Stegostoma tigrinum: one gene and its partner. The protein of the gene in region 2 purifies or fractionates together with the protein of the main gene of each other region. This does not show direct contact. Links are inferred from orthologs where the notes say so. Each region holds a gene or a part of one and is shown on either strand. Other genes may lie near its edges. The genes, in order: kcnab2a and potassium voltage-gated channel subfamily A member 5-like.

Evidence for each region.
Region 1: the proteins of potassium voltage-gated channel subfamily A member 5-like (region 2) and kcnab2a purify together in Homo sapiens (co-immunoprecipitation; 3 studies listed by BioGRID and IntAct, counting the BioPlex papers as one, with this or other methods). This does not show direct contact. The link is inferred for Stegostoma tigrinum from reciprocal best matches to the Homo sapiens genes KCNA5 and KCNAB2.

What each region holds. Positions count from the first base shown.
Region 1 is NC_081381.1:25,934,621-25,945,529, forward strand, and holds the start of kcnab2a (voltage-gated potassium channel subunit beta-2), read right to left. Parts: upstream 4,423-10,909; 5' UTR 4,327-4,422; intron 1-4,326.
Region 2 is NC_081378.1:40,103,278-40,114,704, reverse strand, and holds the start of potassium voltage-gated channel subfamily A member 5-like, read right to left. Parts: upstream 5,238-11,427; 5' UTR 5,181-5,237; coding exon 3,720-5,180; 3' UTR 2,210-3,719; intron 1-2,209. UniProt on the Homo sapiens protein: Voltage-gated potassium channel that mediates transmembrane potassium transport in excitable membranes. Forms tetrameric potassium-selective channels through which potassium ions pass in accordance with their electrochemical gradient.

The DNA of each region.
Region 1 (10,909 bases), on a different chromosome or scaffold from region 2:
CATCCAATAATTCACAGTTGTACAACTGGAATATCAACAGCATTTGGTGTTTCCTGGGACCAAAACACGTTTGATAGCATGTTAGCAAACAAGTTAATAGCAAAACCTGCTACTCCTAATGAGAATCCTAATGAACGAGCTTTGGTAGCAAACTGAAAATTCTATTATAGAAGGTGAAGCACTAAAAACAAAATATAAATAATAACCACCTGAAAAGATTATGGTAATTGGAGAGATTGTCAGGCACTTTCCCTAATTTTTCCATCTCTAGTCAGGTACCTTTTCCCTGAAGGAGATGGTAGACAGATAGTCAGATCTTCAATCTATGGTGAAGAGAGCAGTCAAAGAGAGGTGCATAAAAGATTGAACAGTTTATTTTCCAATTTTTAATCCATTGTGAAACCTTCAGTCAGCTTCCATTAGGTAACTGATTCTGACAATATGATGGAGCATGAGGAAGAGCAACGCAAGGAATTTGTTTCTTGGAGATAGAAAAATTGCAATATTGTTATTGTTTGACGTTTATGCACACAATTTTCATTTATTTGAAGATGTGTGATCATCCCCAGAAATTTAAAATGTGGCACCAAAATTTTTATAGACTTTTCTCTCCACCTTGACAGAAGGCTCTGATTAATGTACGAGTACCACTCAGTAGGCATCCTCAGAACTCCCATAATTCACTCACATTATCTGAACAATAAACTTAAAGTGTGTTAATTTGCAAAGTTAGGAGAAGAATCAAGTTTGAATTTTATATTACTCTCAACTGAATACAGGCATTTCTAGCAGAAATTATTAGATATTAATCAGGAACAGGAACCATGGCTAAGTTCACGCTTCCTAACTTGGGACCTCACTGAGGTATACTGTTGCTGCCCACATCGGCACCCTATCAAATCACGTGGCATAGGCCATCAGTGCACACAGTGAAGAGAAAACAATGTATTTTTCACTGTCATTCAAGACAAAAAGAATATTAACTCACTGACTGTGACTAGATTGTTCACAGACCAGATGGAAGAAGTAGTGAGGCTTTTCTTGTGACAATAAAGCTAAATCTTCTAGTAATTATCCAGAACATATTCTGATTGTTAAAATGAAACCTTCCTGCTAATATGACTAATTTAAATCATTTAGACATGACAGCAGCTGTAGAATTTCAAATAATAAATTCTTCAAACTTGTTTTTACATTCAGTTTAGTGGCATGATTGTACTGCTGGCTTCCAAGACAAAAATCATGTAAACTGATGCTGGCCTCATGATGTTAATTTGTTGGATTTCCTATAGTTGAGATTACTGTCTTTAGTGAAATCAGGTGGCATGCATACACCACTGAACGCGATGTGAAAGATCATGCCCATAAATTGTGAAAGGGGAAGCCTTCACTTAACCTTGCACCACTGCTAACAAAAAAGATCATTTGTCAATTAATTAAATATTTTAGCATTTATAATGAAACATTTTTATAATCAAAACATAGAAATATTATGCCTCGTTACAAAAAAGGTACTTCTAAGATACCAGTTTTTAAATTGGTTCAAATATTTACAATTTTTATTTAGGCAAGTCCCACGGAGAACAACATAACAAAACTCCTTTCCAGCCTCTGAGGCAGGTTCTTCACTCTCCCATCATTTTCTTTAAAGATACCAACTTTTGCTGGGTAACAATCTCATGGTGCTTTTCATTTCTTTGCTCAACCACCCAGCATGGTTAAGCTTTTCCAGTAGAATTAGGCAAGCAGTTCAAATTGAGCGGCATCACGGTAAAACTCAATCCTTTTCTCAAAAGTGGGAATCACTAGAAAGTAAGTCACTGGACAACGGAAACAGGTACAACAAATAATTTTCTCCTGAGGTCAATTATATGGTCTTTATAATTACACAAGCTGAAAAACAACCAGCATAAATGGGATCAAACACAGAATTTTCTTGAACTGTGGTTTAGCAATCCATCACCATAACCAGTTAAGTTTCACACTTTTTAAAATGTATGTATTGTTTATATGCACAGTATTAATAAATATACAAGAAAGCCTCACTTCTCTTGTACTGGCTTTCAAAGACAATGCTATACGAGGTTAGTGTATTTAACAATTTGTAATCATGGTCATAAATTAATATTTGCATTTTGCCTGAAAGTAAGAAATGCCAAAACCACAACCAAAATTAACTGTTAGGTTATTCATAACATTTTTTGTAGTATTGAACAACATATTTTTGAAGAATATTTGAAAAAGAGATGCCATATTTCTAATACTGATCTTTGAAGGTGGCATTTTGGTGTGCCCTGGACATGGTCTGAATTAAATATTTTCTTTTTTAAAAACTGTAACGCATATACTTATTTATTACACATTCAGATGGTGCATTCAGATTTGTTCGAGTTTCCATTAAATATTTTAACATTCAATGTTAGTTTGAACTGAAGTAGCAACAAAACATATGGGTCTTAGATAAGACATTACCAGGCTGTAATCAGAAACTGGGCTGCAGAAGGTGGCAAGGCTCATGCGCCAAATTGTCACTTAATGACATACTGGAAAGCATATGAAGGAAACATGCAAATTAAACAAAGCTGGAAAAAAGGGATAGAACCTAAATGACAAATACAAATAAAATTAAAGTACAGAAAAATAAATGTTTTGTTATAGCATGAAGTACACACATTAAAACAAGGAGATGATTAAATACAAGCGTAATTTATAAGTTCAGATGTAAATTCAACATCAATTCAAATCAAAATGCCCTGCCTTTTCAGGCAAGATGGAAGAAGAGATGACTTTTATTATATTATATTATAAAAGGCGAGGAAGTTTCTGGATGCATGCAATAGTGGAATAGCAGGTCTGAGCAAGTATGATGATTACAGGGCAAAAGGAGCAATACCAGAATCTGGAGAAGTAAGGATAGACAGGGAAAACACTGTGGACCGGAGAGAAAAGAAAACAATGTAATAGCTCTATAATCTACTTTTAAGCTTGAGAAACATATCGAAGAATCATAGCTTCAAAGTTAAAAATCTCTTAAGACACAAAAACTTAATCTGTGTTAAAGAATAACAGACAGTTGCACTGAAAACTGGAACAAATATAAATGTGATCTACAAAAGTCCTTGAACTCTATTTGTAACAATGCCTCAGTTTCCTTCTGTGCTTAGCATAAAATTTAGTTATAAGCTAATAATGATTCACTGGTGGGCAATCAAATCTCTGTCGTGTAAATTTAACAGGGCTAAGTACCCTTTTTTCTCCCCCATATAATAAACTGTAGTTGGATGCAAAGCAGCAGGCAGCTATCTAAAATAGGCAAATCCCATTAAATTGGGATATACCTTAATACAATAATTGCGTAACTACAGTAAAAACTGGCATCTCCATTCCAAATGTCGACATTTGCTTTTGTAAGATTAAAAATATTGACAAAGTCCATTCAATTTATCAATTTAATTCTACATTTTTGTCCTATTTTCAGGGATTACTGATATCAGGAAATCAGTACATAAAACAGTACCATGAAGCTTTATTCTTGATTTGAAATTGGTATTGAAAATGAATGGTCATTATTTGCAGCCATCTTTGGTACAGCCCCACACACAAATATAAATTACTGAGTATTTCTTGCATGTTGTCGTTTTCCAATCCAAAATAAAAATCTATTGGTGTGTAATTTTTTGCTGTTGCAAGATAAGAAATAAACAGTAAAGCAAAGCAAAATGTTTCATAGCAGGCATACAGCAAAACAATTTTTACCAAACCTCTGGGAATGACTCTTCGCTTTGGTTAAGTTGAACTTTTGCTGCTGCTTACTATAATGCTTCTCCTTGAAAAAGGCACAACTAGAAAGGAAAGACCCCAAAGTTGTGCCAAAGGGGGAGGAGGTTCATATTGCAGCTAGAATTAAAATTCCATTGTGCAGCTTTCCCTATTAATATTACTAGAGATAATTTTAAAGAGTATTAAAATTAAGTTGTTAAAATAAAAATCCATTTCATTAAAATATGCAATACTAAATCATGCCTATCAAAAAAGCAATATTTTCCAGCAGCTGCTTTTATTTCAAAAATTTTAAACTTCGATAGACAATCTCATACCCCAAATTTACATTTCATGTTTATACACAAAGACTATATAAATCCCTTCCCTTCATATCTGTTGGTTTTAAGTTTACCATTTTTTAAAAATGCTCCAAGGCATCAGATAAAAGCTAAATTTAAAAATTAATAAAACTAAAAGTTTATATGCATACCCATTCAGGAAGATACACTCCAGCATCACTACTGTTTGTACATATTATTCTTCTAAACTAAAAGCAAAACTCACCCAACTGCCAGAGTAGCTGCTTGTTTAAAAACCAGGAATGGCTTTTAAGATCTATAAGACTCTACGACAGCACTTTGATATTTGGAGGGGGCGTTCTATTGTCAAAAGCAATTAGTAAGTACCAAATCCATTCCCCCTGCTATAGACTAAGTGGTTTTCTGATGCAGCCCATTTGCTCTTATCAGTGTACTTGCATCTTGGCAAATAGTGGTTAAATTATTTAGGGCATTCTCTTCCACTAAAAGCTTACTGTAGCAGATGAAGTATTGTTTACTGCTTAAAAGGGATAAAGCCACCACTACCTTAAATGAACCTAGGAACCTGTGCAGGCTTTTCATCAATTTTTGCAGAGTGCATATATTTTCGTAACTGAACAATAATGATTGGTTTAAAAGTGTGTTAAACCCCAAGATAAATGGAGCAATTGGTTCAATCTCCGAGAAACATAATTTCAGCAGAGGTTATTTTAGAATATTCTGATGTACAGATGCCTTACTGCTTCTTTACTAATTATAAGTTTATTGTACAATTATGCTGTATATGATAGCTGCTCGAACTAAAAAAATTAAAGCATGAACTCCTTTTAAACATGTACCACACCACAGCTGTTTATATTTCCTGGATTGAGATAGTTGCATTACTGCAGCACTATTGACACCCCAATGTCTGAAAATTTTCTTCTAAATAATTATTGGAATAAATAAAATTAAGTTCTGAAATTTCAATAAAAAGATATTTTTAAATGAAGCTTAAAAATTGAACTTTGTACTAATCCTAATTGTAATGCAACAAATAGAAAGATCACTAACCTACTAGAAATGAATGGACCAATATGCATCCAAATTGGTGACTGTGTAATACTTTTGATACCAGCGCTACCAAAAGCAAGGGAACTGATACTTACATAGCACCTTTAATGGAATAAAATGCCCCAAATTGCTTCAAAGGAATTGGCTCTTACCTCTTGGTGATTCACCCTATACTTGTCTTCACCTAGTTCTCACCTGAGGATCAAAATAATTGTTCACAATGCAACCACAGTTATAACTAGTAAAGCATTCAATGGCTCAGCCAAACCAGGCAAGGGTAGTGATCAGGTTTACTAACCTTAGCAACTTAAGGGTTTGTCTACTCTGGTCTTAAAGCTAGGACAAAGTCAAATTGAAGTAATACACCAGACTCTTCAAGAAAGCACTATTCAAGCCCAAGATTTCACTCCATGATCAGAACCTTTCAGCAATGAATAAATTCATGTAATTTAACAATTTCACGTTACCCAAGCTGCCTATAATGACAAAAAGACACATGTAAGAATTATTTAAGCAAGTATAGATTTCAACAAAAAGTCTGCCTACCAAACTGCAAGTTGACAGAATAATGGTCCTGGCTCACTCAGCTCCAACCATGACAGATTTGATCTGTGTACCAGCATCACACCAAGAAAGTCAACTATTTTCATTTAAACAGCCTTTGGAAGCTTCTGAAGATAAGATGGTAGGACAAAAAAAAAACAAGCATCCATGTAATCATCCAAGTTGTGGATGCTTGGCATGTACACCATGATGAGACAGTTACAACTTAGATGGACTGGTTATCTAGTGACATTTGAGTCAAAAATATGCAGCAGGTGGATATACATGTCCCCATTTGAACAACTGTTTATTTATTCTATTTGCATTTCTCAAGTCTATTCCTTTCTTCCTTCCTTCATTATTGACATCCGTGTGTTCCCAAATGAAATCTCTCTACTTGAAGTCCACTGGGGTAGAACTGTTCCACTGGGACAGGCTTCACTTAAGCCATGCTGGGACCAGTATCCTGGTGATTGAATAACTAGGTCTAGAGTGAGGGCTCTGAAACAATTAGAAGGGGGTAAGGAAAGCATATGAGAAAGGGGAAACAGCTTTGGGTTACAAATCAAAAAGGATATGGCAACTTTACAGGGTGGTTATTGTTATGGACCAGACCAACCCCTTAAAAACATATCACTGAGATAGCCCAGATCCCAACATTAATCTTACTTAAAGGGAAGTAAAAGATGCTGCACTGCAGATGTGCTTCAAATGATCAAACTACTAGACTTTAAGCAAAAGACACTTTATTCTTACACCACAGTTAAAATACAGACAAAGAAAGAATTGGCATAACTTAAACTCTACCAAAATATTTGACATAATAATATATTATTTAACTTCTACTCATCAACTGTTCCACTATACCAGCAAAACATTTACACACTCCTAGCAAAAGCAAAATCACTCACATGCTTTCTCTAGTGCAGGAGATAAAATGAATGAATCTAGCAGCAGAGACAGAACTCAATATTTTGCAGCAGTAGAAAAAGAACGATACTGAGCAGCTTCAACTCCAAATACCCCAACTTCAACAACTGAAAGCAAACAAAAATCCTGGGTCTGTGTGAGCCTAATTCTACCCACTCATGTTTCTTTTGTCTAGCCAAAAAAAGCCCAAAACTATTTACTATGCATTCCATAGAGCACAAACCTCGTCACCAGATTTACATCCCCACCTCCAAGAAAAATAGGACAGATTAATTTCCTCTTAAAGGTACACAGCATAATATCCAAAGTGGGGCAGGAAGAGTAAGTGTGTACAACAATACAAAAACAGCAGTAAATAGGCTAAAAAGGTAGGAGTGTGGGAGGGGGTTGGTGGAAGAATAGTTTAAAAAAAACTAAGCAAAAAAGCTCTTTACTTTGAATCTACATAGAAGTTGGAACAAAAAAACAATGTAAATTAACGAACAGCATAGAGGTTAATAGATATAATTTTATAGTCATTAGGAACATACTGTTACAAGGAGATCAAAGCTGCAACTAACTATTCAGGAGTGCCCGACTTGTTGAAAGAGCAGGCAGGAAGGACAGCAGTAACAAGGCGTGGAGCTGGAAGAACACAGCAGGCCAGGCAGCATCAAACACCCGAAACGTCAGCTTTCCTGCTCTTCTGATGCTGCCTGGCCTGCTGTGTTCCTCCAGCTCCACACGTTGTTATCTCAGACTCCAGCATCGGCAGTTTCTACTATCCGTAAGGATGGACAGGATGATGGGGTAACTTTGTTATTTTGGGTGGAATAAATACAATAAGAAAAGAAAAATTCTGGACTGGAATATATAAAATCCATGAGTAGAGATAAGAAATAACAAGGACAGGACAACACTGGTAGGAATGAGTCTTAGACTCCAGGTCTCCTAACAGGAGTTACATGGTAGGACAGAAAATAAATCAGAAAATAACAAAGGCATGTATAAGGAAAAAGGCACGTTGTCAATCATCGGAGATTTTAATCTTCATGTAGATTAGGAAAGTCAGATTGGTAGAAGTAGCCTAAAGGAAGAATTCATAGGATACATACAAGACAGTTTCCTAGAACGTGTGGATCCAGCTCGGGCTCAGGCCATTTTGGATCTGGTATAAGGAGGCAAGATTCATAAATGATGTCATAATAAAAGATCCCTTAGAAAATAACAACCATAACATGATAGAATTTAGTATTCAGTTTGAGAGTGAGTGACTTGGGTTGGAAACAATTGTGCTAAAATGAAATAAAGCTAATTTCAAAGGAATGAGGGCAGAGCTAGCTGGAGTGGACTTTGAAAGGAGTTTAGCAGCAAAGGTAGGTCAGAAATGATAGTAGACTTTAAGAAAATGGACCCTGGCTTACAACAAAGATGTATCGTAGTGAAAAAAGGAAGATTCTAGTTTGGGAATAAACCAACTGTGATTAACAGGACAAGTGAAGAATGACATCAAAATGAAAAAAAAAGTACAATGGGGAAAAAGACTAGTGGTAAGCCAGGGGTTTGGGAGATTTTAAAAACCAACAAAGACAAACCAAAAATGAAGAGAGAGAAAACAAACTTAAAGATAAACTTGCAAGTTATATCAAGACTCACAGAAACAGCTTCTTTAAATACATAAAAAGAAAGAGAACCCAAGGTGAAAATAGGCCCCTCAGAAAATAAAGCAGGGGAAATAATAGTGGAGAAACCAGGGGGTCCAAAAAGGGAGAAGAAATAAATTGAATAACTATCCATAAAGATAAGTAGGGGAAAACTAATGGGGCTAAAGAAGTGTCTCCTTGATGTGGTGCATTCTAGGATATTGAACAAAATAGCTTCAGAGATAGAGGTTGTACTAGTAGTGATTTTCCCAAGAACCTTTACATCCTGGAAAAGTGCCAAAGGATTTTAAATCTGTTATTGCAACAAAGGGATGAAAACAAAAAAAGGCCAATTGATTTAATATTTGTTATTGGGAAAACATTACCGTATATTTTGAAGGATGCAATAGCATACCACAAAAATACATAATGTAACCAAGCAGCATTAGCACAGCTCAATGAAGAGAAAATCATGCCTGGCAAATTTATTAGAATTCTTTGAGGATAAAGGAGAACCCACGGATGTAATAAATTAGGAATTCCAGCACATGTTTGGTAAGGTGCTACAAGTTAACTTACTCAATAAACTTAAGAGCCCATGGTGTTAGAGGCAGAATATTAGCATGATAGAGGATCGGATAACTAATATAGGACAGAATGTTGGGATATGAGGAACATTTTCAGGATGGCAACCTGTAACCAAAGGAGTGCCACAAGGATCAGTGCTAGCCACAACTATTTACAATATATAGTAATATTTGGGTGAAGAAAATTAATGTGCTATAGCCAAGTTTGTAGATAACAAAATTAGGTGAGAAGGCAAGTGGTAAGGATGACAACAATTCTGCAGAGGGACATAAACAGGCTAGGTGAGTGGGCAAAATCTTGGCAGATAGAAAATAATGTAGGGAAAATGTGAGGAATAGCAGGAGGAATAGAAAGGCTTAATAGAACTTAAATAGAAAAAGACTGCAGAAAGTGTAGCGCAAAGGATATTGGGAGTCCTGATAGATAAATCACAAAAGGCTAGCATACAAGTTCAGCGGGTATTAGGGAAAACAGGCCGAATGTCCATCTTTATTTCAAAAGGGAATGCAACATAAAAAAAAGAGAAGTCTTACTAAAACTTTACAAGGCATTAGTTTGACCACACCTGGAACACAAAGAACAGTTCTGGTCCATTTATCTAAAGAAAGATATATTGGGTAGTCTTGGTAATGTTCACTGGGTTGATCCTGGAGATGGAGGGATTGTCTTATGAGGAAAGATTGAGCAGGTTGAACTTGTATTCATTGGAGTTTCAAAAAGTGAAAAGGTAGCCTTATTGAAATATACAAAATTCTTAGGGGCTTGACAGGATAGATGCATAAAGCTTATTTCTCCTTAAACAGGAGAGTCCAGGACCTGAGATAATAATCTTAAAACATGGGGTTACCCATATAAAACAGGAATGAAGAAGAATTTCTTCTTTGAGAGTGCTGAATCTGTGGAATTCTTTACCAAAGAGGGCTGTAGACACTGGGTTGCCAAGTGTATTTAAGGCTGAGACAGGCAGATTTCTAAATCAGTAATAAAATCCAGGGTCATGGGGGAAAATGCTAGAAAGCAGAGTTGAGGATTATCAGATCAACCATGTCAACAGTGATACTGCAACTTCTATCTGCCACAGTTTATACTTCAAAAGAAAAAGGGATCAACAGCACTCAGCAATTCATATACCACCAACTCATTTGCTCTTCATCACAACTAGGACAACCTACACATCACGTACGCTCACAAAGGCTTGAATGGGAAAAGGACACTAAATGCTTGTTTGAACATGCAACATCCATCCTTTGAGAGGTGTGGCAGGTGCCGCTCTGCACAGATAGTCAGGAGGAGTGACAAACAGGCAACCAGGATTTGTCCTCTCACTTTACTCCTTAAGGGCCCTGCAGAACCATCTCCCCTCTGATAGGGATCCAAATGCCTCTAGCTGCTCCATCTGAGGAGAGTGCCCAGAAGGCCACAGCACTCCAGGCAAGGGCTATCAGAGGATGATGCCAAAGTTTTCTGTGCAAATTGGCAAACAATAGGTCAGCAGGCTTCCACCAGTTCAGCTGTGGCTGCTGAGAGAACAAAAAATTAAAGAATATTGAATTCTCCTTGGGTGTATGAGTATGAACAGTTTGTAATGCACTCATAAGTAAAGAAATGCACCACCAGTTTTCAAAATCCTTTGGTCTTGTGCAATCTAACTAAACTATTAACAGTTTTATGTTTCCTTCTAGAATAGCTTGGAGGCAAATTCTTAACAGCATAAACCACACAGCATACGAATGCATTGACTTCTGATTCCGGTAATCACTGCCACGGATTGACCTTGTAAGTCCATGCGGTGGCAGGAAAAGAATAGAGGGACATAGTAGCAGGGAGATAATCATCCGTACACATTCATATGTGCTTCAGGTGCAGGGTTGCACACAGTACTGGTGCTCTCACACACAGGTCTAATCGGGGAGGTGAAAACTCTCTGGCAAGCAGCAATGTGAGCTACATAGTTGTGTTGCATGAATAAAATCAGCATTGTGCAGCTCTCCTACATCTGTGACAAATGGATGTCCCTTGCAAAACAAAGATCTGTGCATTACAAGTGTGGCCCCATTTCTAAGTACACAGAACCCCCGACTGATGCTTTGG
Region 2 (11,427 bases):
CAACAGCCTGCACAAAATTTCTAGCCAATATAATGTGTCTAAGTTTCTAGGTTACATATTTCAAAGTGCTATAAACAGGCAAATATGAAACTCTTGTAAAAAGGGAAAATGTTAACCTCAATTGATGTAGGAGCTGACATCTCTGCAGCCCCTAGCTAATTTTCATAATAACACTTAAAAACAAAAGAAATGCTGGGTATTTCCAGCATCACCGGTTCTTACAATTTAAGGAATAGAACATTGATTTTCCAAACTGAATATTCAAAATTGGCATCATGTATTCTCATAATAGCTGCAATGCAGCTTTTAACTCTCTTTTCTCCATCGTATTGATCTGCCTCAATATAAAGGGTGTTGCACCTTTACAAACTTCCTCATAATTCATGGTTCTGCACTTCCTCAGTGGTATTATCAATTTTGTGAAGAATATGTAGTTTTGTATGGTGGAATAGCAGCCTTTGGGGTGAAATTTCACCTTTATTGCTAGATAGAGAACAAAACAGTAATAGGATGCCCATTTAACATTTTGCCTTCTTTATATGCTCATTAACCTCAACAGCAGCAGAAATAGGGGTGAACAAAGAATGAATAGCACATCGGTAAGTGAAAGGCAACTCCATGAGGAACAACACTGACACTGCCCAGAATCATTGCACTTGTGGCTAACGAACAATGAAGTCTTAGCTGAATTTGAGATGAGGCAACTCTTCAAGAATGGTGTACAAATCAAATAAGCCAAATACCATCTAGTCCTACAGATTACTAACATTTGATTTGCTTAAAGAAAGGTGCCGTAATAAAATTGAATATTATTTGTATAACTCTGCTACGAATTAAAGTTTAGTTCAGTGAATAAGACATGACAATTGTCCACACTACTCAGTACACAAAATATAATTTCATATGTTCTGTCAATAACATTTTCAACAAATACTCACAAATAATTAAACACAAAAGAGCTCAGCACTTCATTAATGAAAAGTACAATCTTTAAACATGTATGTGCATAAGAAATAAATAGAAACAACATCAAACAAAATACGATGACAATCAGGACTGTTTTCTTCTTGGCCACTAAGCACATGCAACATTAAAATGTAAAAGGAAGATTTCCTTTGGTTAGTATTCCTAGCAAAATTAAAATCATGTTATTTGAGAATGTATTCATGTTTTCACGAGAAATGGTGATCAGAAGAAATCTTCCTGCTGTGGGTATGATGTCGCAATCACCCAGCAACACAGAAAATCTTAAGTCTGTAATGTTGAAACAGTCAGCCATCTGAATTCATTTGATCTCTGAACATGCCGACATATGTACACTGTCAAATGGTAAAATGCTGTAAACAGCAGTTATAAACTATTGTTCTAAACAGATTTCCTGCAAACCAAATTAAATTTATGTTAAGAACCCATGGAGTGTATAAGATGGCAATATCAAGGAAAGACCCATAAATCATGAACCAAAACACCCTTTTCCATTTATCTTTTAAGAATAAAAAGAGTGGCACTGATGCTGGTGATTCTCAATTCAGCTGTTTTGAAATTGGAAATCTATTTTTGTTAAATAAGGCAGGACATTATATCTAATGGTGTGGTCTCCCCCAGGTGGTTGCACAATCCATATCAGATATGTGGTTGTAAAACAGTCTCAGATTTCTTTTGAAAATTATCTATGAAACAAGATAGTGCTAATTAATGTTCAAGTAATTTTGTAAACTTTCTGTATATGTAAGGCAGAAGAAAACTTCAAATGTAAATATCAGAATCAGAGATCGTAAGTATTTACAAAGTTCTTGCTAACATTATGTAATTAACATCTGAAATTAACATAAAAGGCTCAAGTCTCAAGGTATGGATTGCTCATCAGCAGAGGGCTACCTGCCAATCAAAGTAATGTCATTCAGCAAAGCAGATAATACACTAATAAGCTCACAGTGAAATCATTATGGTAGCTCTTTGTTGATACTTTTCACAAAGCCAGTAATTATCTGTGCATTTAATAGCAAAACAGCTGCATTAGAATGAAAGATCTTGTATTTTTTAAATGAATGTAGATAGTACTTTGATAATTTCACAATGTCCTGTAACTCAATTTTTTTATGTTTAAAAGGGTTACAAATGAAAGAAATGGTACCCTTTTTAAAATCTTCATTTTTTGTTTACTTTTTAAGCAAAGCAAAGTTTTAAAAAGAAATGGTAAAACACTAACCTTCGATCATGTGCCTGCAGCAGTGAGCCACTCACAAGAGACAGGTGTTTTGTCCATTTGAAGACATGGGTGTTCTGAATATCGGTTCAGAATCTGGTAAAAATCCTTCCACATCACAAGATTTGTTTCAAATTGTTATAGCTTTGCGATAGTTATAAGGCAGTCCCTAACATATAATGTTGTCCAAAGTTCACTTCCTCTAAACATTTTCAAAAGATAAAAGACGAGTCATAGCAAATATCAAATCCAGAATGATTTGTCATCATCTAAAATGTGTTTCCAGTTCAAAAAAATGTGTTGGTTATCTTTTGTTGTTTCATCACTCTGTGGTATCAACTTTTATTACTTCACAGTTCATGTGTTAAACTTCAGGTACTTAATCCCAATCTTCGTCTGTTCTTAGAGAACCCAGTTTTGCAGATTTACTGTTCAGAATAAATATGCAGATTTTAAAATAGTTATTTTACAACATTAGTATAAATCAATGCATTCACTTAGGTCATTACAAATATGATCAAGTGGATCCTCTAGCGAATTCCTTTGGATTTTTGTTTACATGAGATCATTTGCAACACATTAAGTGGATGTACAATAAGCTTTGACAGCTCTACCAGCAAAGAGAGAGTCTAGTGCTTCTCCAAACATGGAAAATCAGTACAAAAAGCTGAAGTTGCTGATTTAAGTCCCCATAAATATTAAATAAACAAGGAATGCTCCAATTATCTAAATATACTGTTCAGTAATTCTCGTATGATCTGTTCGAATTTTGTCGCATGAACACTTTGAAAAAATATATTGCGAACAGAGAAGTCCCACATTGCCTAAATACAAATACGACTTTTGTCTTCCTTAAGACTCCAAGCAAACTGAATTTCCTCTCTCTCTGACGGTAGCTACATTGTAAATAAAACAAACACTGTTGCGAACTCTCATCACGACAGGCTTTGATGCGTTTGAATACATTTCCGCCTCCCACTCCTACCGCTTAATTTTATGTATATAAATATATAAATATATATGACACAAAACATGAGCAAAGTATTGCAGGAAACAAAGGGTTGGATAGTCCATGACCTTTCTTCCTCACAGGAAAACTGAGCTACTTCACACCTGCCTCAATTACAAATTCAAAAATAAACTTATGGAATTTTAAGACTTTACATTTGTTTCCAATTAATGAAAGCAAAACAAATACAAGACGGAGGCTGGAGCTGTGCACAAGTTCCAGCTGTCCTATTGTGCACCTGCAGAAAACCGGTGTCTCATCAACAACCCCAAACCCCTCCAACAGCCCACGCCCCAAAAAAATTAAGAACCAGCGCCAAAGTGTTTAGCTAAACCCCTTGGAATGTATCTGACGGTCTGATAAAGAATGATGTATAAAATTGATATTTTCTTCTCGCCTAACTAATCTAACCTGTGTGGTTTGTACAAATGCTGAGTGGTTTTTTTTTTCAGTTTGTCAACCCCAAACAAGTCTGGAGAGTTGTCATGTGGAAAGTGGCCGGGGCTACAGGTCGGTCTCTGTATTTGGATCCAGACATAGTGCGTACAGCGATTTCCTGATGTCGGGGGCACTGTTGGCCTTCAGGTGAGCCCCCGCGCCATTGTTCACCCCCTCACTGTTCTCCAAGGGTTTGCCCAGGGAGCTCCTGCTCCTCTTCAGTTCCTCTGAGTGACTGGGCTCGCTGTCCGTGTCGTCCTTCAGGTACTGAGCCTGCTCCTCGTTGTCCGTCTCCCGGTGATAGAAGTAGTTGAAGTTGGAGACGATGACGGGCACGGGCAGGGCGATGGTCAGGACGCCGGCGATGGCGCACAACGACCCCACGATCTTGCCGCCCATGGTGACCGGCTTCATGTCCCCATAGCCCACCGTGGTCATGGTGACCACCGCCCACCAGAAGGCATCGGGGATGCTGGAGAAGTGGGAGCGCGGCTCGTCCGCCTCGGCGAAGTAGACGGCGCTGGAGAAGAGGATGACCCCGATGAAGAGGAAGAAGATGAGCAGGCCCAGCTCCCTCATGCTGGCCTTGAGGGTTTGGCCCAGGATCTGGAGACCCTTGGAGTGGCGGGAGAGCTTGAAGATGCGGAAGACCCGCACCAGGCGGATGACCCTGAGGATGGCCAGGGACATGGCCTGCTGACCATTGGTCTGCTGCTCGGCCAGCTCAGTGCCCAGGGTGATGAAGTACGGGATGATGGCCACAATGTCGATGATGTTCATGATGTCCCGGGCGAAGACCGACTTGCTGGGGCAGGCCAGGAAGCGGACCAGCAGCTCCAGGGTGAACCAGACCACGCAGGTGGTCTCGATGATGAAGAAGGGGTCACTGAGGCTACTGTTGTCCCCAGTCCCGGGGCTCTGGGCGCTGGTGTTGAGCGGAGAGTTGCTGGCACTGTCGCGGTCATCGCGGAACTCGGGTAAGGTTTCCAGGCAGAAGATGATGATGGAGATGACAATGACCAGCACCGAGACAATGGCGATACCCCGGGCAGGGCTGGAACTCTCCGGGTACTCGAAAAGGAGCCACATCTGCTTCTGGAACTCATTGCGAGGCAAAGGCTTCTCCTCTTCCTTGATGAAGCCCTCATCCTCACGGAACCTCTCCATGGCCTCGGGTCCCAGCTTGTAGAAGCGGATCTCGTCGGCGAACATGTCGATGGAGACATTGACGGGTCTGCGGATCCTGCCGCCCGACTGGTAGAAGTACAGGATGCCGTCGAAGCACGGCCGGTTGCGGTCGAAGAAATACTCGTTCTTCAGCGGGTCGAAGTACCTGATTCTTTTCTCGGGGTCTCCAAGTAGGCTGTCCGGGAACTGGCTCAAGGTGCTCAGCTGGGTCTCGTACCGGAGCCCGGCGATGTTGATCACCACCCGCTCCGAGCGGTTGACTTCCAGCAGTTGCTGCTGTTGCAGGTTGTCCACCGGCGGCGCCTGGTCCACGGCTTTCAGCGGCCCCGCCGCGTTCATCTCGCCCGGAGCCGGGGGGTCCAGGTAGCCCTTGGCCGCCGGGCCAGCAGCGCTCACACCCAGGGGCGCTAAGATTCCGCCTCCTCCTCCTCCTCCTCCTCCACCAGCACCACCTCCACCTCTCTGGCAGCTCCCCAGAGCGGCGCCACCGTCCTGCAACCTCACCAGAGCTATGTCCATCCCCGAGCCATTAAATATTCAACACATTCCACATCTAGCGAGAACTGATCAGTCAGCGGAGCGCTGGGAGACACACACACACACACACACACACACAAAGAGACAGAGACAGAGATCAACAGTCCCCACCCCAGAGCAAGGCACAGAGATACATCAAGGCATTGGATACAGCAGCGGAACCCGGATGAGCAACAAATAAATCATGATTGCAGCTCTCTCTCCCTCTGACGTCGAATGCCTGAAAATGAGCAGCAGAATTTATCACCCACCGCTCTGACCCCCCCACCCCGACCCTGGGCGCTGCTGCCTCAGACTTAACCCCTCCACTAAGCCCAGTCCACACTCCTGTACCTCCCCGCCCCGGTCCCTTCCCGTTCCCAGATACAAGCCCGATCGCCAACCACAATCATTTAAACATCAACCCTTCTCTCACTTTTAAACGATTTCACTATACAAACAGGTAGAATGTTAAACGACTGTTTTTTAAAGAGAAAGGAACCAACATTTGAATGTTATTTTATTTACCCTATGTGGTGATTCAAGTGCTTTGTACAGTTGGGTCAGGGAGGTTTTGTGGCGTGGTGAGTGCTGTCTTTTGAGTCAGGAGCTTGGGTTCAAGTCCCACTCCAGGACATGGTCAGTTTCAAAAATACAGGTCTCTTTACGGGTCTACCAGAACCGTTCCGGAATTAAGAGCTGGGTTCTGGTCCGCTGGGTGGTTGACCTCGGGTCACGGAGTTTGTCCAGAATGGAAAGGTGAAAACTGGTGTTTGTGGATTTATCATAAATTTCTGAACACATTTTGCCATCTAGTTCAACATATGAATGTAGGTCTGTTGAATAACTTGATGGGCAGTGAAGGTGTCACGGCTAACCAGGCTGTTTATCACTTTCTGGTAGCCTATGGCAGTGGTGAGAGAGCCTCTTGGGTCAGCCATGTTTCATGTCCGGTTCCTCCATCTATAGCCTCCAGTGAGAGGTTAACCACAGAATCATGTGTAAGCACATTTACTTTTTCTGCCTCATCTCACCTAAGCATATGAGGAGGCAGGTGGGACTAGCTTAGTTTGGGATTATGTTCAGCGTGGACTGGTCGGACTGAAACGTTTGTGCTGTACAGCTGCATGACTCAATGACATAGTGATGATTTAATTCGGTCAGCGATTGAGAGAGCAGATGGACTTAACTGTATGGTGCTGTTTCTTTCTGGAACATATGGGTGTGATCCAGTGGTAAATAAATTGATAGCCGTCAAACTAAAACTAATGCAAAGTAATCATGATCCCAACTGATTGATGCCCTCCCCATGAGTGTGACAGCTTGCACAGTGCACAATCTGTAAGGCATCACATTTATGCTGAGGCATGGTTTTGCTTCAGGTTTTGAAAGCAAATTCCTGCTTAGATCTCTTCCTAAGCAAAGATTCTTCAAATAGAGGCTGAACACGAATCACCTCATGAGTTTTAGGAATGCAAACTATGAAATTTTAAGAATATTTGACCAGAAAGGGTGCATAATTTAATAGTTCATAAAATAACACACTAACATAACTGAAACTAGTTTCCAGGAGATTGAAAACTAATATATGCCACCACCACTTAAAATGCTGAACGGCATGAGGACTATTCATGCTAATAAATTGTATGTACTAAAAATTGAACAATCGATTCATAAAATCATGCTCTCAGAAAAGACCCTCAGCACTACAAAGTCAAGTATATTTTTGTGTTTTTTTTAAGGCTCACTTCTTATTCCTATCTGCATGTAAGCATATTACTTTATTGATTCTTTTCACATCAAGTAACCAATAATATCACTCATTTGTTCACTCAAGAAAGAAGTTCAAATTGCCCCTTTTAAAACATTAATTTGGTCTGCGAGAAAGGATTCCACACAGAGGAATCCTGTCTAAAATAACTTTGTTGCAACCAACTGAGAAGATAGATAAATAAAGACAGGGAGCGAGTTCATCCTATCTCTCTTGGCAGCTTAATGATTTTGGGTATCCATCCAGAACCGTAATAACTTTGGAGAACCTCACCTCCAGATTGGTTGTAGAAGTTATGCAAAATCCAAACTCTGGCATTGATTTGGTATCCAACAGGAGTTTGGGAGGAGATGGTGGCTGTAGTGCGAGAATATTTGCAGCCTACACCAATCTGTTGCTCCACATCCCAGTAAATATATGAATCGCATTGAGGGCATGTCTTTTTCTAAATGCCTTTTCCAAAAGGTTTGGAATAGCTACTGACATTGAACTTGAGCAGACTATGGTACTTCCTATGTAGATTTGTGTACACAAACTGTAACGAGAAGGTGGGTGAATTTGGAACGGGAGCCAGTTCATCCTTCTTCATGTGGGGAGTTTAGCAGATTGGAGTATCCCAACTGGAAATGAAATGAATTAGGGAATTTTGCCCAATGTCTGCTTGTCAGAGAGGTAGCTATAATAGACCACCTGCCAGTACTGATTGAAGTAATTCTGCACACTGAATGGGGTATAAGTAGTTAATGCGAGTTCTTGCAAGTGAGTAATTTTTGAAGATTAAGGATTAAGCACAAGGTAGGGTTTGGCAGATCTTGAATTTACAGCAAATGTGTCACGTGTTTCTCATGTTATTCAAGTAATGCAAAACACTAATAATGTAGAATAGGCCTCAGCATAACATGCCATATGTCCTTTTGGATGCTTCTGACTGTCAGACTGCTTCTGACTGTCCAGTCAACTGTTAATGCCACATGTCTGTTCAACTGAATGTTAAAACGTCATGAGACACTTTTCTAAGAGCAGCAAATTTCTAGTATCCTCTCTGAACTAATTCCTCAATGAATCGATCATTTGATTCATTGCTGTTGCTTGAACATTGCTTTCATAAGATAACTGGTGCTGTCATTTTTATAACAACAGCATGTTTGAAAATTAATAAAGACTGATAACTTGTGTTTCTTTAAAAAAATCGCATTTAATTGAAAATAAAGACAAATGAACGAATAAAATGTTCAAAAATCCTCACGCAGTTGTAATGTACTAGTGAACTCTCATTCCAATTCATCATTTCTTAATAATTTAGTACTGTACTATTCAAATTTCTGTAAATTGTTATTAGATTTAGTGAATTTAAATCACTAGTGTCTGAGCAAAAATGTATGCACAACCCTTACAAATCACATCTACAAGTTAATTCATTTGCTGTCCCATTTCACATTAGTAATAGATGTGAAATCCTGATAGAACCTGCAAATGAAAAGCTGGTTTCTAATTGGCTCATGGTCTCGGCTTTCCATCATTCTGTTCTGCTTTTTCTATCTTCTGGTTCCCACTTTTAAGGATTTCCTACTTTTCAGTTGTACTTCCGATTAAAATAGCTGCAATGAAGGGGTTCCTTTGTCTCACATATATAGCCTTCTAATTGCTCCCAGTGAGAACCTAGATGTCTTGAAGGTTTGTGTTGCTGTAATGCACAGCAATACAAAAACAACGAAATTTGATTTATCCTTTCCTTGAGCACTGCTTTTGTTGACCATCAGAATCAGAGACTACCATTAATTAAATGGCACTTTCACTTTAACCTTATCTGTCTCCATTGATCTATCAGGATACATCTGGACATTGTATCACATCCATGACAGTGTCAACCTAAAGGAGGCAGCTTTTGTTTGTAAATTCTTCCATCTCACAGGACTGCTTGCATTCAATATGCAGCTGTGGCTAATAAGTAATGGGGTCAAAAAGATAAACTCTCAGGCCACATGTGGCACAATTTTCTTTTTAGAACAGTTATCACTGAATCCAAAGAAGAAATTAATGTGCTAAAATGGTAAAAGTTTTGACACATTCATGGTCAAATTTGTATTGCCATTTCTCTACTCTAAGTAATATGATCCATGAAATGAAAGCTCCAATATTTATATCATGATTATCTGGTAATTGGCCATGTGTGACAGTTTCTTTAGATATGTAAATATATGTGTATGTATATGTGTAGCACACATCAACAAAGGTTTTCACAATTCTTTGGATGGTTAATGCTGCTTCCCCAGTATTTAGGAAGTAAATGTCTCCCTAAACTTTTGAAAAAGCACCTTTTGCATGTGAACAAGTTGATTTTTTGAGCCAGTCGTGACAGTCATTCCCCTAGCAACATCCCTGGACTTTGCAATGGCAATATGTAAAGCACCCAATTGTGGGCAGCTATATCCTTTTGGAGTTGTAGTGATGGAGATTGAAATCCCCCAGGGTATATTCTGAGTCTATGGCACCCTCAATGCTTACACCAAGTGGCATTCATTATGGTGGAGTAGAGGAGGCAGGCTTTGGTAGTACATTGGAATCAACAGGACATTTCCTTATTCGTGTGGTCTGAGGTTGATATTGAAGTCTCCCAGGGTACCTCCCTTCTGACTATGTGCCACTGTTATGCCACCTCTGCTCGATATGTGTTATCGTTGGGATAGGCATGAAGGTCTTGGCTGGAACATCATCTGTCAAGTATGATTCCATGGGTATAACCATGTCAGGCAGTTAAGGTTGTAGGCATGCTCGCTCAGCCAGTGTGTTTGATTGCAGACGTTTTGACACCCTGCTAGGTAACACAATCAGTGCGCCTCTGGTGAAACATCGGTGTTCTGTCCTGCTTGTTATTTATATGCCTTGTTTTCTGGGGTGGTTGGAATTACTTCTGGTTTTGTTTGTCAGTGGTATGTATATTGGGTCCAGTTCAATGTTTGATATACAAACCACTGAAAACAGACCTGGAAGTGGAAGAGGTGTCAACCATTCCAGCAAATCCAGGCATATAAATAACAAGTGGGACAGAACACCGATGCTTCACTAGAGGCACAGGGATGATGTTACCTAGCAGGATGATGAAACGTTTGCAACCAAACCCATCGGTCTACAATCTCATCCACAACCGAGCTACAAATCTTCTCAAAAACTTCAAATACCTACAGGCTGTTGCTTGATTGGTGTGTTGAACACATCTCCCAAACCTGAGAGTAGCCCTCAGATGTTGGTCAAGAGGACTATGCAAAGGCAACAAGGCTGTGTTTGCCATTATCATTTCCAATGCATTAGTCAATTCTAGGTAGTCTGTCTGGTTTCATTCATTCGAGACATTTTAGTGATACAACTGAACTGTTTCCTGCACAAAATAAAAACCAAAAGACCTGCGGATGCTGTAAATTAGGAACAAAAACAAAGTTGCTGGAAAAGCTCAGCTGGTCTGGAAGCATCTGTGGAGGAGAAAACAGAGTTAACGTTTCGGGTCTGGTGACCCTTCCTCAGAACCTTGAATGGCTTCCTAGGCCAATTCAAAGGGCAGTTAAGAATCAAACAGTCGTATGGAAGGCAGACCAGGTTAGAATGGCAGTTTTCCTTTCCTAAATGGCATTAGTGAACCAGATAGTTGTTTCTACAACAATCAACTTGATGCTCATTATGAAAGTTAATTTCAGATTTGATTTTTTTAAAACTCAAATTCTACCATATGTATGGTGAGATTTGAACTCAAAACTGCAGAGAGTTACATTCATCACTGGATTTCTAATCCAGCAAAAATACCACTACACCAGTGCCTTCTTTATTCCAAGGAGAACAAGCTTTAGAAACAGGCTTAAACCTGTACTTTGTGGGTATCTGTGGCCCATTGCCTTACAGATGAAGCTTGAAAAGCATGATGGAAACTGTGCTAACTGCACAAAGACATTGAGTGAGCTTGCTGTAAAGGGGCGAAGTGAAACAAGACTGCTTACTGAAGCAAATGTCTGATGTTAACTATGGAGAAAAACATCTCCTGTGTACATGTCTCTTGGGTAAACAAGCTCCGAACTATGAGGGTCTTCAGCAATGGTAATGGCATTGAATGGTCTGGAAGATTGGGAGCAAACATATAAAAGAAAACACATCAAAGACATCAAGAGTGATGACTCAAGACCAACCACCATGAGGAGAAGACCCTGAGTTCAGAACTCAGAGAAGTATAGACTTGTCAGAATGAACCTGAGCATTTCACCACATACAGGCAGTATCTAGATCCTAGTCAAACTATTCAATAATATGTTGAGT